3 linked regions of the Tribolium castaneum genome follow. The protein of the gene in region 1 binds, or shares a complex with, the protein of each later gene. Links are inferred from orthologs where the notes say so. Each region holds a gene or a part of one and is shown in the gene's direction. Other genes may lie near its edges. The genes, in order: brun, trafficking protein particle complex subunit 12 and gry.

Region 1 (4,480 bases):
TGTGCGGGGATTTTTTCCAATTGCCTCCGGTGGCCAAAGGCAAAACTCCAGTCAAGTTCTGTTTCGAGACGGAGGCCTGGAGTCGGTGCCGATTGTCGGCGTATGAACTGAAAAAAGTCCACCGGCAAAACGACGACGAGTTTATCAAAATCTTGAATTGTGTGCGCATTGGACAAATTCCTGAAGATATGGCGACGAGATTGGCCGAAACGTCGCGACAGAATATCGAAAAGAACGGGATTTTGGCCACGAGGTTGTGCTCGCACACGCTGGAAGCGAACGCGATTAACGAAGCGAAACTTAACGCACTGCCGGGCGAAAAACTCGTCTTTACGTCCGAAGACTCACACCCGCATCTTATCAAGCAGTTGGATCAGCAAACCTCCATCCCGCACACGCTCGAATTGAAGGTTTTTATCCATTATTCACGATTTTTTTGGAAATAATTAACACAGTTTTTTAATATTCAAAGTTTGTTTTTTTGCAGGTCGGTGCGCAGGTGATGCTTTTGAAAAACATAAACATCGCCACGGGGCTCGTGAACGGCGCTCGTGGAGTCGTCAAATCCTTCCAAGAAGGTGTTCCCGTTGTGCAATTCCGTAGCAAAGAATATGTCGCAAAGCCTGAGCGCTGGTGCGTCAAAAGCGCCACCGGTGTTATGCTCACGAGGAAACAGGTGCCCCTTAAACTAGCGTGGGCTTTTTCCATTCACAAGTCCCAAGGTTTGACGTTAGATTGTGTTGAAATGTCGCTAGGAAAGGTGTTTGAAGCCGGTCAAGCTTATGTTGCGTTAAGTAGGGCCCAAAGTTTAGACACGCTGAGGGTTTTAGGGTTTAAGGCCTCGCAAGTCTGGGCCAATAAAAATGTTTTGGATTTTTATCGGTCGTTGAACTTGCAGATGGAGGCCATGAGACTTATTCCCTTGGGGAGGAGAGAGGACAAGGCAGCGGTTAAAAAATCCTACAAACCTAATGCGAAATTGATGAGCAAACCTTTAGTTACTATTAATTAAGTCGCGTATGGAGAATGATATATTTTACATTTAGATTAAGTTTAAAAGTGAGTATTCGATTAATAAAGTATTATGAAACGGTTTTTATTGGCCTGACCTGACCCGACCCTTGCCTTGTTAATTAACCACAATCTAGGCGTTTTTTACGCTTTCAGCTACAGTTAAAAAAATACAGTTTGCGAAATCGGGAAATCTTAAAGAATCTTTAAAAATTCATTAAGGTCCCAAGGGGTTCGGGTGTCCGAACATGATTTTTTTACAGTCGAAGGCCCTATCGGAGGGCTTAATCTCCTGCAAAAACAAAGAAAATTGCAGGATATAAAGGGGGTGAAAAAAATCAGTTTGCATTGCTTGAACATGAGAATAAAAAATGCAGAAATTAAATACAGTCATGTTTTAATTTGTAATAGAAACACATTTGAATGGTCAGGAGATGTTCTACCAATGTGATATGCAAATCAGCGTAACAGCTTATTGATGTTTTTACGATTATTTTGATAATTTTCCTGGTGTGAACTTGGCTGCATAAAACTATCTCTTACTCTCATAGGTTATGTTGATGTCGTGAAGTGTCAAATTGCTGACCCTAAACGTAGTTTAAGTGTAAAAAGAGTGATTTGCGCAAGAACAGGCCCCTCAGAGGCGTAAAGCAATGATCAGGTAATTATTTACGGCCAAAGAGTGCGTTTTATTCGGGGGGCGAAGTTTGAAATGTAGGTGATCCCCAGGCCTCACAAATGCGTTCTTCGGTAAGTTACATCCTTTCGAGTAGTACCAGCGAGCCAAACATGTCTCACCCCGACTACGAACAATACTCCCATGACCACGCTGCTCTCCTGGTGCTCGTACGACACATAGGCTCCCAACTAAAGCCCAAAACATTCCAAAAATTCCACGACCGTATCGCCAAACTCACCTCAGTCCGCATCACCGACTCGACGGGAAACGTCCGCACGATTCTAGTCCGTTATGTGAAGGAACACCCCGTTGAAAACAACGATTGGGGCGACTTCCAAACCCACCGACGACTCTTAGGTCTCGTCTCTCTGGGAAAATACGACTCCCAGCAAGAGCTCAATGAAATATGCCGCGTCCACGAGAGTCTCAAAGTCAAATACACCGGCACGTTATTCGATTCGCGCTGCATTTTGTTCGGCCCCACGAAGGAGGCGAGCAGCTCGCCGGAAGACACCTCGAGCCCCAACACCGACAGCAGCAGCAGCGCCCCCGAGGAGAACATCGAGAAGTTCACAACGCCTAGCAACTTCAAGACACGGGGGCTCTTCTACGACGAGAGCGCCCCGTGTGCTGACCTCGAAACCCAAATAATCGAATTCATCAATTCGCTGTTTTGGGTGCTTGAGTCCAAACGACTCGAACGCTCGCGCGAAAAGCTCGAACGGGTCTCCCTCCTGCTCGCCCCCTTTGAGAAAAAGGACTTCGTGGGGCTCGACATGGAGTCGCGCAACAACAAGAAAAAATGCACAGGCCGGATGACCAAACACTTGGGCGATTTGTGTCTGCAAGCGGGGCTGCTGGCCGAAAGCCTGGTTTATTACGGCAATGCAGCCGAGACGTTGAAGAGTGTCAACGATTGGTTGTGGCTGGGGGCCGCCTATGAGGGTTTGTGTGCCGCTTCTGCTCTAGTTTTGTACCCCGAGATGCAGCGAAGTGTGCAATTGCAACGTAACGCCAGTTTGCAAGAGGGTTCCTCGCCGAAAAAAACAGTAGTCGCGAGTAATCTTGACGTGGGGGCGAAGAAAGCCTCCGTGCCCAACACACTAGCCCCCGAGGATATCTCGAAGAGGTATCGGGAGGCGATTATTCACTACAGCAAGTATCAAAATGCGGGTGAGTTGTGTATAGTTGGTTGCATACCTTGCCAAGTTTCATTTAGGGATAGTCGAGACTGAGGCGAGTTTTAAGGCCGCCCGCATCGCTGTTGAGCAAAACCACTCACTTCAAGCCGCCTCGTTTCTACAAAACGTGGTCTACATCAATTTAACGCTCTCAGAGCAGGAAAAAATCCAGCGTTTTGAGACCTTGGCCGAACTTTATACGCAAATTGGTTTCACGCGTAAAGCCGCCTTCTGCCAACGGCTCGCCGCCACCAGATACGTCTCGCCCCAAAATCCCGCCCCCAATTGGAACCGCTGCTATAACCTCATGCTCCACAGCCTTCCCGGCCATCGCCTATCTTTAGATCCGGCCGAAATGAGGGAGGTTGAACAAGGGTGGCCAATTCTACAAATTCAATTGTTACAAGAACTGGTGGTGGCGGCGAAAAGAATGGGGCATTCGGCGTTGGCGACTCGCCACATGACGTTTTTGTTGCAAACAATGTGGCAGCATTTGACGCCGACTGAGCAGAAAGAACTGGCGATACAGTTACAAGTACGTTTTTTTTAGGGGAATAACATAATCAAGATTATTTTAGGCCTTATCGGCGCAATGTGAAGGGTCACCGGTGCCCTTGGTGTTGGACAGTGGCGTTGTTATACCACCGGCCAACTTGACCAATATTCCACTTTGCCATTCTTTTGTTTTGAGGAACTTGCAGCCCCATTTACAGCCGCGGAAAATACAGGCTGTAAAGCAGGACACGGGGCCGTTTTTGTTCACTCCAATTCATTTTGGGAGTTTGGATCGGAGGAGCACAGCGAGTCAAACTAAAATGGGTAGGGAATTTGATACACACGATTGCTTGATTAAAAAAAATTGTAGCATTTTTGTGGGTGGAGAACGAGCCTTGCGAAGTCACCCTCAAGCTGTCCAACCCCCTGCCCTTCGAGTTGAAGGTTTCGGACATGCGTTTGTTGACATCAGGTGTCGTGTTTGAGTCACTCCCCGAAACTGTGGTTTTATCACCGTCGGGGGCTCCCCCATCTGTTACGACCCTCCATGGCACGCCGCGCGAAAGCGAAGGCCAGCTCCAACTCCAAGGCTACAGCACGCACACCCTTGGCGTCAAATCCAACTGTCGGTTGAGACACATGAACGGGTTTCCACCCCATTACGAGGTCGAAATCGTCCCATCCCTTCCCTTACTCGAGGTGAAAACATCGCTCCCTCAAAGCGCCTCCTTCTCCTCATTCCACGACTACGAAAACGTCGTAACCTCAGCCAGTGTGAGTCTCCACCACGGCGAAAGCGCCGAATGCACAGTCACCATCACAAATATCGGGCATGTTGACGTGGAGATGCTCGAAGTTTCGATGCAGACGGTCCTGGAACCGGCCCTCCAAGAACAGATGTTCACTTGGTCGCAGGAGAACCTCCTAAGTCAATTGCCCCTAAAACCGAATTGTTCGGCTAGTCTGACGTTGTATTTGTACGCCGCTGGGAGTTTTCTCGTCCCGGGAGGCACAGGAAATGAATTCAGCAGTGGCGTTTTCAGTAGCAGTATTTCAGGCCCGGGCTCGTTACCCTCGCGACTGAATTCACCAACTAGTAGCAGTTTTCACAGAA
Region 2 (4,567 bases), on another chromosome or scaffold:
CCATAATGCAGAAGAACGGGGCCGGTTTGCACACCGCTAGTTCGTGCTATTGGGATAATAACACGGATGGGAGCTGCACCGTGCGTTGGGAGAACAAGACCATGTTCTGCATTGTATCAGTATATGGATTAGCTATTTAAATATTTCAACAAGTAATTACAGTCATGGATTTGCCTTTCAAGAATAATTTATCGTATTTATAAGTTTCTACTTGATAGTGATTGTTACGTATTAATAAAGTCATTTTTTTATTTGGATTTTGTCATATTATTTACATTTGAAACTACAGTTGTTAGCTGTTTCAAAAATATAAAAACGCCAACGTCGCATTCTCTCTCAAAATTAGCTGTTATATTATTCATGCATTTCAAAAAAATAACAGCTTTGTTCGCGGTAGCGATCCTGAACTAGTTCCAGCTCTAGTACGCTGAATCCCGGATCGGTTCAGAATTAGTCCCAACGATCCTGGGACTCGACGAAGGATTTTTAGTTCTAGACGTGCGCAGTTGAAAGCGGTTTTGTCTCTGTTACTCTCATGTCTTTGAATATTTTTGAGATTGGAATCAATATAAATAAACTGTCTGTTTTGATTACCGGAATTTAGTTAATACTTTACTAAATCGTAATTATTTGTATATAAAATAATGTTTGTAAATTTGAAAATGGGTTGTTTTCTACAATTTATACCTTTTCGTTTTAGGTTTTTCGAATAACTCATTTCTAACTTTGTTCAAATTTTTGTAGCTTGTTAGTTTTTAAACATTTGTTGTGTACTTGACAACGATAAATTATCGTTTGCGGTTGACTAAAATCCATAACTGGTTCAGAACCGCACATGCGCTGTAAATAAATCCTGGACTACTTCAGAATTAGTTCTAAAAATCCTCCGCGAACAAAGCTAATAAATAGCTAATACAATTTCTTCTTTCAATGAGAGATCTTAGCATTCATAACTATTTTACAGTTTTATCAGTCTTATGTAAAAAGATAATTCGGTAAAATGTGACGTTGCTTTTTAATTAAGCTGTATAAAAATGTAAAATAGTTATTAAAGATTAGATCCCTCATTGAAACTACGGACTGTTTATAAAAGAGTGTTGGCTCTCAGGTGGTTCTGTAATTTAAATTTGCCGCATTTAATTATTTTATTACTATCAAATTTCTGAAAAGTACCAGTAAAACTAACATTGTTCGTTTTTTCTTGAACAAAACGGCAAACTTCTGAAACCTACTACGATCCTACATTCATTTATAGACAGATTGTATAAATTACATTAGCTATTAATTTTTTGAAGGGCATGAATAATTTAGAACAGTTAATTTCGAGGGAAAATGCGACGTTGGTGTTAATAATAGAAATAGAAATTCGCGCCATAAACCCATTTCAAGTTTTTCTACGATTGGCTACAGTGGATGTCAATGTCACTAATAAAAAAGTCACTCGCAAATGTCAATAAACGAACGTAAACAGACTTTCGTCGTATTTATTTATTATAAGTTCGTGTAAAGATCGAGGTATTTAGTGAATAATTGCTAGACATGTCGGAAAGCGTGCCCCCGTCCTTGAGTCAATACTTCGGCGAAAAAACCGACGATAAAGTAAAGACAATAGACCTATCCGAAGAACTAAATGAAGCTTCCACAAAAATAACCGATCTTAAACTAGATGACAATCTCCCAAGTGCTAAGAAAAACGAACCAGAAGTGTGTCGAATATTCGCCGAAACGCCACCACAAGCCAAAGATCAGACGACGTCATTCTTCGATTTAATTGGAAACAACCACAGCGTTACCTCCAACGGCTTGATATCAAACCTCGACATAACGCCAAACAACGACGTGAGTGACCTAATTGTGTGTTCCACAGTTTGGTAAATTTTTCTAGGACGGTTTTTGCCCCAGAGTGGCACTAGGCTCGGAAGCAGACCGCAGGAGAGATGCCTGGATACCTAGCGAGAGGACCAGACAATGTCTCATTGCGTGCGCCACGGCAGCCCCCGGTACGTATTTTCCAGACAGGGAGCTCCTCACCATGCCTGGGGTCCTGCTAGAAGAGGATTTGGTATGTTTGCTAAATAGTCAAAGGGGGAAAATTAAACTTATTTAAAAAGGGGGACAATATCGGGGAAGCAGTCACCTTGTGTCTTGGGGAGGCCGAAGCCGCGCAACGAAGTATCTTGTCCGAAAGCGACGTAACGCAGGACGAAAGGGGACTGAGAGAGTTAGTACAAGCGGGTTCATACCGAGCCGCAATTAATTTAACTGCGAGACTTTTAACCATTTACGGCCAGGGTCGGGGCCGCGCGGGCCATCCTAGCAAACATTCGCCCCATTCGTTACAGCTGTGGTTCACTCGTATCGCCCTTCTAGTCAAAATCAAAGCCTTTGCAGTTGCTCAATCGGAAGCTGCCCCTTTTGGTCAGCTCGACAAGCCGGACGTTTTCTACCAGGTCTCTAGCCACAAATCACCTTCGACCACTTACCGCAATTTTACAGTTTTACCCCGAGATGTATGGGGGCCGTCCAGGCTCCATCGCTTCATTTTCATTTCGTTTACTCTTAAGCGAACTGCCAATGCATTGCGGTAAACCCAAAGACTCGTTAACAAAGCTGTACAGTATGAAGTCCACGATAAAACAAATGTTGGATAACTTGAAACAGGGCTTGAGCGAGGACGGCAGCCCTATCGAAATTAGTGAGTCGGATCGCACCGATTCGATTCGACTTTGGACGGGGCGCGAGACTCGAGTCATGCACTCTATTGTTAATTGTGCCCTGGCCTTGAAAGATTATGAATTGGCAATGGTGATGATGGAAGAGTTGTGTCACAGGTGAAAAATAGGCGAGGGAAGAAAGTTTCTAATGGTGGGTTTAAGGGATGGGACGGCACGTCATATGTTGTATTCGGCGTTAGGAAGGTTGAGACTGCAAGTGGGCGACGTGGCAGGGGCGGAGACTTGTTTTGATGAAGCAAGGGCTTTGAGGGGTAACACGACGGATTTGAGGGAGTATGTGGATCGGGGGTTGCTCGCTGTGGCGCAGAATTCGTTTGATGAGGCCTATGTCTGCTTCCAGCAAGCCAGTCTCCTGGACCCCACAAATGTTATGGTAAAGTTTTTTTTTTGGTCCCTACGTATTAGCGCCAATGGTGTATGTAGATTCACAAAAACAATTCCATGTTATTCCAATTCGTTCCAATTATTTTCAAAAATGTACACCTAATAAAAAAGTATTACTAAGAAAAAAGAAGCGGCCGAATTTCGAGTGGCATTCGAAAAAGTTAGCAATAGACCTGTTATATTTTCAATAGTGAGTTATCTTTAGAGTCAAATAACTCTGAATTTACCTAAACTTAATGCTCGACTTAATATTAGTTAAATAATGACGGTTCTTTGAATTACTACCTTAGGTCTGAGTTACAAAAATTCTAAGTTAACTTAACAGAGGTTATTTCGAAGTTGTTTTTTTTTTGGCTTTAATCTGAAGTTTCTTTTTAACTCGAAATTAACTCGACATTGTCCTACTTTACCTAAGATTCTAATAAACTATGTTACTTAACAAAAAATCATTGAACGTATATTAATAATGTGATAATTATTGTTGAATAAAATTTTTCGAAATTTCTTTTGTTTTCGAGTGATGCAAAATTTTATTTATTTATTTTTTTAATGGTTAAGTTCAGAGTAAAACCTTCGCAAAACACTGGTTTGAAAACATTATTGGATTAAAAGTAATTTTTAATCTTTAACCAAAAAAATCGTCCTACCTTTAAAAACAAATAAATACGGTTTCGCATAACTAGAAAACTAAAAGGAAAATTTTATTCTTTAAAAATTATCCACAATTTTAACAGATTTGGTAGGTGATGATCATATTCTAAATTCTATTTTTTTCCATAAAGTAAATAGTTATAGAAAGTCGATTCAAGCTTTTTTGTCATTTGAAACTTTTCGCCGTATTAGAGGAAATATTGTAGAACGAGTTTTTAGCTGAAAATAGCGTAACTTTCGACCATGGAAGGCCCTTTCGACATGATATTGTAATTTTTTTTTGGGCGTGTTATTAACTTCTTTTAGGGAATTTATGCGAAATAAGTGAGTTTTTTTTTGGCTGAAAAAAGTACTAAAACCCTCGAAAAATTACATTATTATTTATTATTATTTATTATTTCTTCTGTTGTGCAAAATTTAATTTTTACACTTTTGGTTTATAAGTGTGCTCAAGCATTTGGGAACAGCAAAAATAATAATAATTTTATTAAAAGTACTAAGATTTCAAAAAAATGTAGGTGGTGATATGGTTATGCACTAGTGTATTTTTGTTAATATCTTCATGTTAATAATACCCACATTATTTGGTTTTGATAACTTAGATTATTATTTATTTTATCAATAAAAACGAAAACAAAAAACAAAACTTGCTGTGTGAATTTTAACATCAACCGCCTCTGTACACCAGTGTAGTCAGTAGGATTCATTAAAAAATTAAAATTTCCAAAGGCTAGTTTCGCCACATTTTGTGCTTTTCTCATTTAGCATTTAAGGACTTAACCAGCTGTGCTTCCCTT
Region 3 (4,500 bases), on another chromosome or scaffold:
GTCTAACAGTCATGATCGCAATAGAATTTGATCAACAATAAAAATAAATTATTTTTGAAACGGTTTCCTAGGAAATAATTCCCAGTGTTGGCACATCTACACATTGTGATTTTTTGGATGAATTTTAATTTTTTTTTAATTAAAAAAACTGCTAAAATCTGATAGTAAATTTAAAAATAATTATTCATCGTTTTGTTACGGACGATTACCTGGTATGAAACATAGAAATATAAAAAAATAATGATAACTAAAGAAGTTAACACAATAAGTTTGTAGCTCAAGATTTTTAAAATATGACTTTAGGAATTTTTTTAACATTTTTCCCGTGATCTACACGTGCTTCTCAACAACGTACCACTGCGTTGGTGCGCCAGTTTGTGAGCAGCCTGTAGATAAATCTAGATAATTCTTTTGTTCTCTACACACATTCACTGAAACTTGGTTAGATAATAACTTGATAATATCGGGTGATTCAAAAATGTGTGGCATAATTTTAACCACGAATACCCCTCTACAATTAAGAAAAATTACAATTTTTCAAAAATTGGTATGGAAAAATGGTTTTTTGAAAATATTTTTGTTACCGTTCATGCGATTATTATGAAATTTTGCATGCCAAGAGACACAAAGACGCCCTTTGATATGTGTAAATGGAAATCTTGTAAAAGCTATACATTTCCGGTGACAAGAGGGCCCTTCCAGTTTTTAGGTGATAACTCAATTTTTCGGCCTATAAACACGTATTTTTGATGTCAAAAATCAAAAGCCCAATTATTTTTTAATAAAAAAGGTACTCTTGCTTCATGTCGTCAAAACTGTACCGTTCTCGAGTTATTTGGGATTAAACTAAACTCTAAATAAAACGTCTTTTTTATTGTTGAATTGGTGGTCAAAAGGGCATTGTGTGACAAAACCGATTTCGGGGTGAAATGTGGCGAAAACTGCAATAGTGCATTTGCGGAGCTGGACAAGATAAATTTTTTTAACATTGTTCCGACAACTAAAAGGCCATAATTTTATTTTTGAAAAACGTCTTTTTTATTGTTGAATTGGTGGTCAAAAGGGCATGTGAGAAAAACCGATTAGGTCGGTGAAATGGGCGAAAACTGCAATAGTGCATTTGCGGAGCTATAATTATTGAAATTAGGTGAAAAAGTGGGAAAAATTAAGAAGCAATTTGTGGTAAATAATTGAGTTTTTCGCTATTAGCACAGTGACTTTCTTAAAATGTCATTTTTAAGAGGGTGTTTAGTGTTTTTCGGATTTTATTTTATTAAACGGTTTCAACGCTGACAACCAAACATACATCTACGCAAATTGAAACGTATTTTGCTAGTGTGAAACTGGCTTCATGTCGGGTTTCTTCGGAATTCGAGGAGCTGGTTTGGGGAGCTGTCTTCACACAAATCCAGAAGCACCTTGCGAGAAACGTCACAACAACATGACGTTTGTGGTTATGTCAGTTCGGCCAAAAAATACGAATTTTTGATTTTTTCACTCAAGTATGCAGACATTGTGAACTAAATAACTTAGAATGCAGTCCTACATCCAAAACACTTCCGATCTTCCGCCAGAATTGTGCGCCAAGCCTCTGGCTCTGGTAGGAGTGTCTGGACTAGACACCCTCAACAATGCGGTCCACAAATCAATCTGGGAGACGTTTAGCAATAACAGGCGGGCTGACCGGTCCCCAGTCTTCTTTAAACTAATCAGCAATGCCCACGAATTCCCCGTAATTAAGCCAAAACGCAACTCCTACGACTGGTACATTCCAAAGGGGATTCTGAAGCGCAACTGGATGAACAAACACCTGTACGAGATCCCGGCAGTGATTGTGATTTTCTACGACTTGGACTGGAATGACAGTTTGTGGAACGAGAAGATGATCGAATGCGCCTCTCGAGTGCAGTCCTTGAGGTGCGTTTTTTCTGTTGGGGGGTAAAATTTACATTTTTCCAAAAGGGCAGCGCTGGAGGGGCGCAACACGCGCATAGCTGTGGTCCTGATCCAGAACACTCTTCCTTTGCCTCCTGGAGAGGACGTCCTGGCCTCTGACCGCGCTGTTAGTTTATGCGCTAGTTGCGAATTGAACGCCAGTTCATTGTTTGTTTTGCCCCACGGGGACCATCTCCAGGGGTATGCTGTGCGACTGGAGAGCGCTTTCGCTTTCTACGAGTTCGCCCAGAGTTATTACCACAATGAAATTAAAACCATCAGGTCGCATAAAGAACACTTGAACAAGAGTTCGCATCAGTATTTATTCGTGAGACATCAGTTCAAGATGGGGTTTCTGTATGAACTCAAACAGGACGTTCATACGGCTCACAAGTACTTCATTTACGTCCTTTTGCAACTTTCTTTCAATTAATTAATTTGTAGACATTACACTCATGCGTATAATTATTTATTGGAAATTCGGGTGGTGGACACGAACGCGTTAGAGATCAGGACCGTGGCTGGTTTCATTAATTACAAGTTGTGCAAGTTGATGTTTGCGTTGAATTTACCACGTGATGCCATTTCGCAGTTTAAAGCCCACATTGATCGCTTTAAAAATCGAATGGGTTTTCACGAATTGAGTTTTGAACACTACGCCTGGCTGTCGAAACAGTGAGTGGTTTAATTTGGTGGGGAAATCATTATTTGTTTAGGTTTTCCGTTTTTGGTGATATTTTTGATGAAGCCGTGAAGTTGGGATTACCGGCTGTCCAGACCCAACATCCGGGGATTTACTACCAGCAAGCTGCGCAGTACGCCATTCTCCGGAAAAAGTCGTGCCAGGAGTTGTGTTCCGTAAGGAAAAAAAAATTTTTTTAAGTCTTCGGACAATTTTTTCGAAATTACTGACTACAAACGCATTTCTCCTAAGACTGTTAGAGATTTGAGTAGCAATTTTTTTATTTTAAAAATAAAAAAAAAAGATCCTGTAGCCGAAATTATAATCCGATTTTCTCCGGGTTCTAGTTTTTCGATAGAAAATTAAAAGCAGATTCTAACCACAGAGATTTCAGGCGGTTTTTAATTTTTTTAGCGTCAGGTCTGTTGATCTCGAGAAAAATGCGTTTAAAGTTTTTTATATTAGAATTTTTAACTTTTTTTAAACGGCGATTAATATAAAATTATCCTTATTACTGTACAAAACACTATGACTAAAAATAATTTTTCAAATTACAAACAGCGAAATTAAATGAACTATTGCAAAACACCGTTGTAATAAGCATTAAAAAATCTACAAGGTGAGTCTAATAAAAGTGTATCTCAAAAACTAATCATCGCACGAAATTCAGCGATTGGTATAAATACTTTAGTCTTGTTTCTATCATTTAATAAAATAACTTATTCTCAATGTATCTATAACTACATGTGATTTTTTCAGAATTTTTCTACAGTTGTTTGTTCGTAATTAAGATTAACTAATTGATTAATAAATTATCTAATATTGTCGCTGTAAGAAATTATTATTCCGTATATTATTTCCAATGCCATAAAAAATAACTAATGCTTAAGTATCGCTACGCCAAAAAATATTTAAATAAAAATTAAAAATTATATAAAATATATTTTTTGTAGGTAGTATGTGGAATTATGAAATCTCGATTAGTGAATATTTTAATATTTTCAATACTAATATTTTTAATTTATTGAAATTTATAGTAAGGAATTCTAGAAAATATTTGAAAAAATTCATATGCACAGAGAAAAAAGGTAAAATACGTATTTAATAAAAGTAATAATAAAATAATAATAAAAATGCTAATTTTTATGTGATAACTGATTAATTAATTACATATTAGTTTTTGACATTTGAGTAATATTGTACTTTTAGCAGAATCACCTTGTATAAATGAGACAGGTTTGAAGCGAAAAACCTCGCACTGCTCGTTATATTAATTTTTGTTTAATACAGGGTGACTAAAAAATCGGCTGTAGAATTTTTATTTATAGTTCCGATTTCAAAAATTAAAAATAATGAAGTGGCTTCTAATGTAGTATGATCTAATACTTTTACATTTTTTCTAAATATTATAGTGTATTTTGGGCTATTTTTTAAATTGGAACCTACATTTTTCTTTTCATAAAATGGAAGATAACAGTTTTTTGGTACAAATACGAGTGGTAAGTTCTACTTGTACAAAAAAATATTGCTTAAAAAACTTATCAGATTTGAAGAAAATGAATAAAAGTTAATAAATTCTAGTTGTACGGTATCAAATAACACAATGACGTTCGTCAAAAAGCAGGGAATAAAAGATAATATTCCGAAAATTTTTTCACCACACATGTGAAGTAATTAAAATAATTCATTTAATTTCTGAAATGGGGCCATAAGTAAAAATTGTGAAGCCCTTGCCGTTTTCAAAGAATAACCCCGCATAAAAAATGAAGGATCTAAGTTGACAGAATTATAACAAATAAGGTTTTTTGCACTCAAACACTCGAAAAAAGTACAAAACCAATCTTTCGTCGAATTTGAATTATTGAAAAAAAATGCGTAAAGAT

The links.
Region 2: brun (region 1) and trafficking protein particle complex subunit 12 share a complex: the UniProt entries of both Homo sapiens proteins name them as parts of the multisubunit TRAPP (transport protein particle) complex. The link is inferred for Tribolium castaneum from reciprocal best matches to the Homo sapiens genes TRAPPC9 and TRAPPC12.
Region 3: brun (region 1) and gry share a complex: the UniProt entries of both Homo sapiens proteins name them as parts of the multisubunit TRAPP (transport protein particle) complex. The link is inferred for Tribolium castaneum from reciprocal best matches to the Homo sapiens genes TRAPPC9 and TRAPPC11.

The regions. Positions count from the first base shown.
Region 1 is NC_087399.1:3,381,738-3,386,217, forward strand, and holds the start of brun (protein brunelleschi), read left to right. Parts: upstream 1-1,520; 5' UTR 1,521-1,672; intron 1,673-1,717; 5' UTR 1,718-1,749; coding exon 1,750-2,863; intron 2,864-2,909; coding exon 2,910-3,406; intron 3,407-3,449; coding exon 3,450-3,690; intron 3,691-3,736; coding exon 3,737-4,480. Other genes in the region: ATP-dependent DNA helicase PIF1, read left to right, coding at 1-410, 488-1,012. UniProt on the Homo sapiens protein: Functions as an activator of NF-kappa-B through increased phosphorylation of the IKK complex. May function in neuronal cells differentiation. May play a role in vesicular transport from endoplasmic reticulum to Golgi.
Region 2 is NC_087396.1:17,553,884-17,558,450, reverse strand, and holds the start of trafficking protein particle complex subunit 12, read left to right. Parts: upstream 1-1,401; 5' UTR 1,402-1,539; coding exon 1,540-1,839; intron 1,840-1,885; coding exon 1,886-2,062; intron 2,063-2,111; coding exon 2,112-2,450; intron 2,451-2,496; coding exon 2,497-2,831; intron 2,832-2,876; coding exon 2,877-3,108; intron 3,109-4,567. Other genes in the region: Dlc90F (dynein light chain Tctex-type), read left to right, coding at 1-140. UniProt on the Homo sapiens protein: Component of the TRAPP complex, which is involved in endoplasmic reticulum to Golgi apparatus trafficking at a very early stage.
Region 3 is NC_087395.1:23,286,893-23,291,392, forward strand, and holds the start of gry (trafficking protein particle complex subunit 11), read left to right. Parts: upstream 1-1,395; 5' UTR 1,396-1,534; coding exon 1,535-1,917; intron 1,918-1,962; coding exon 1,963-2,328; intron 2,329-2,379; coding exon 2,380-2,610; intron 2,611-2,651; coding exon 2,652-2,793; intron 2,794-4,500. UniProt on the Homo sapiens protein: Involved in endoplasmic reticulum to Golgi apparatus trafficking at a very early stage.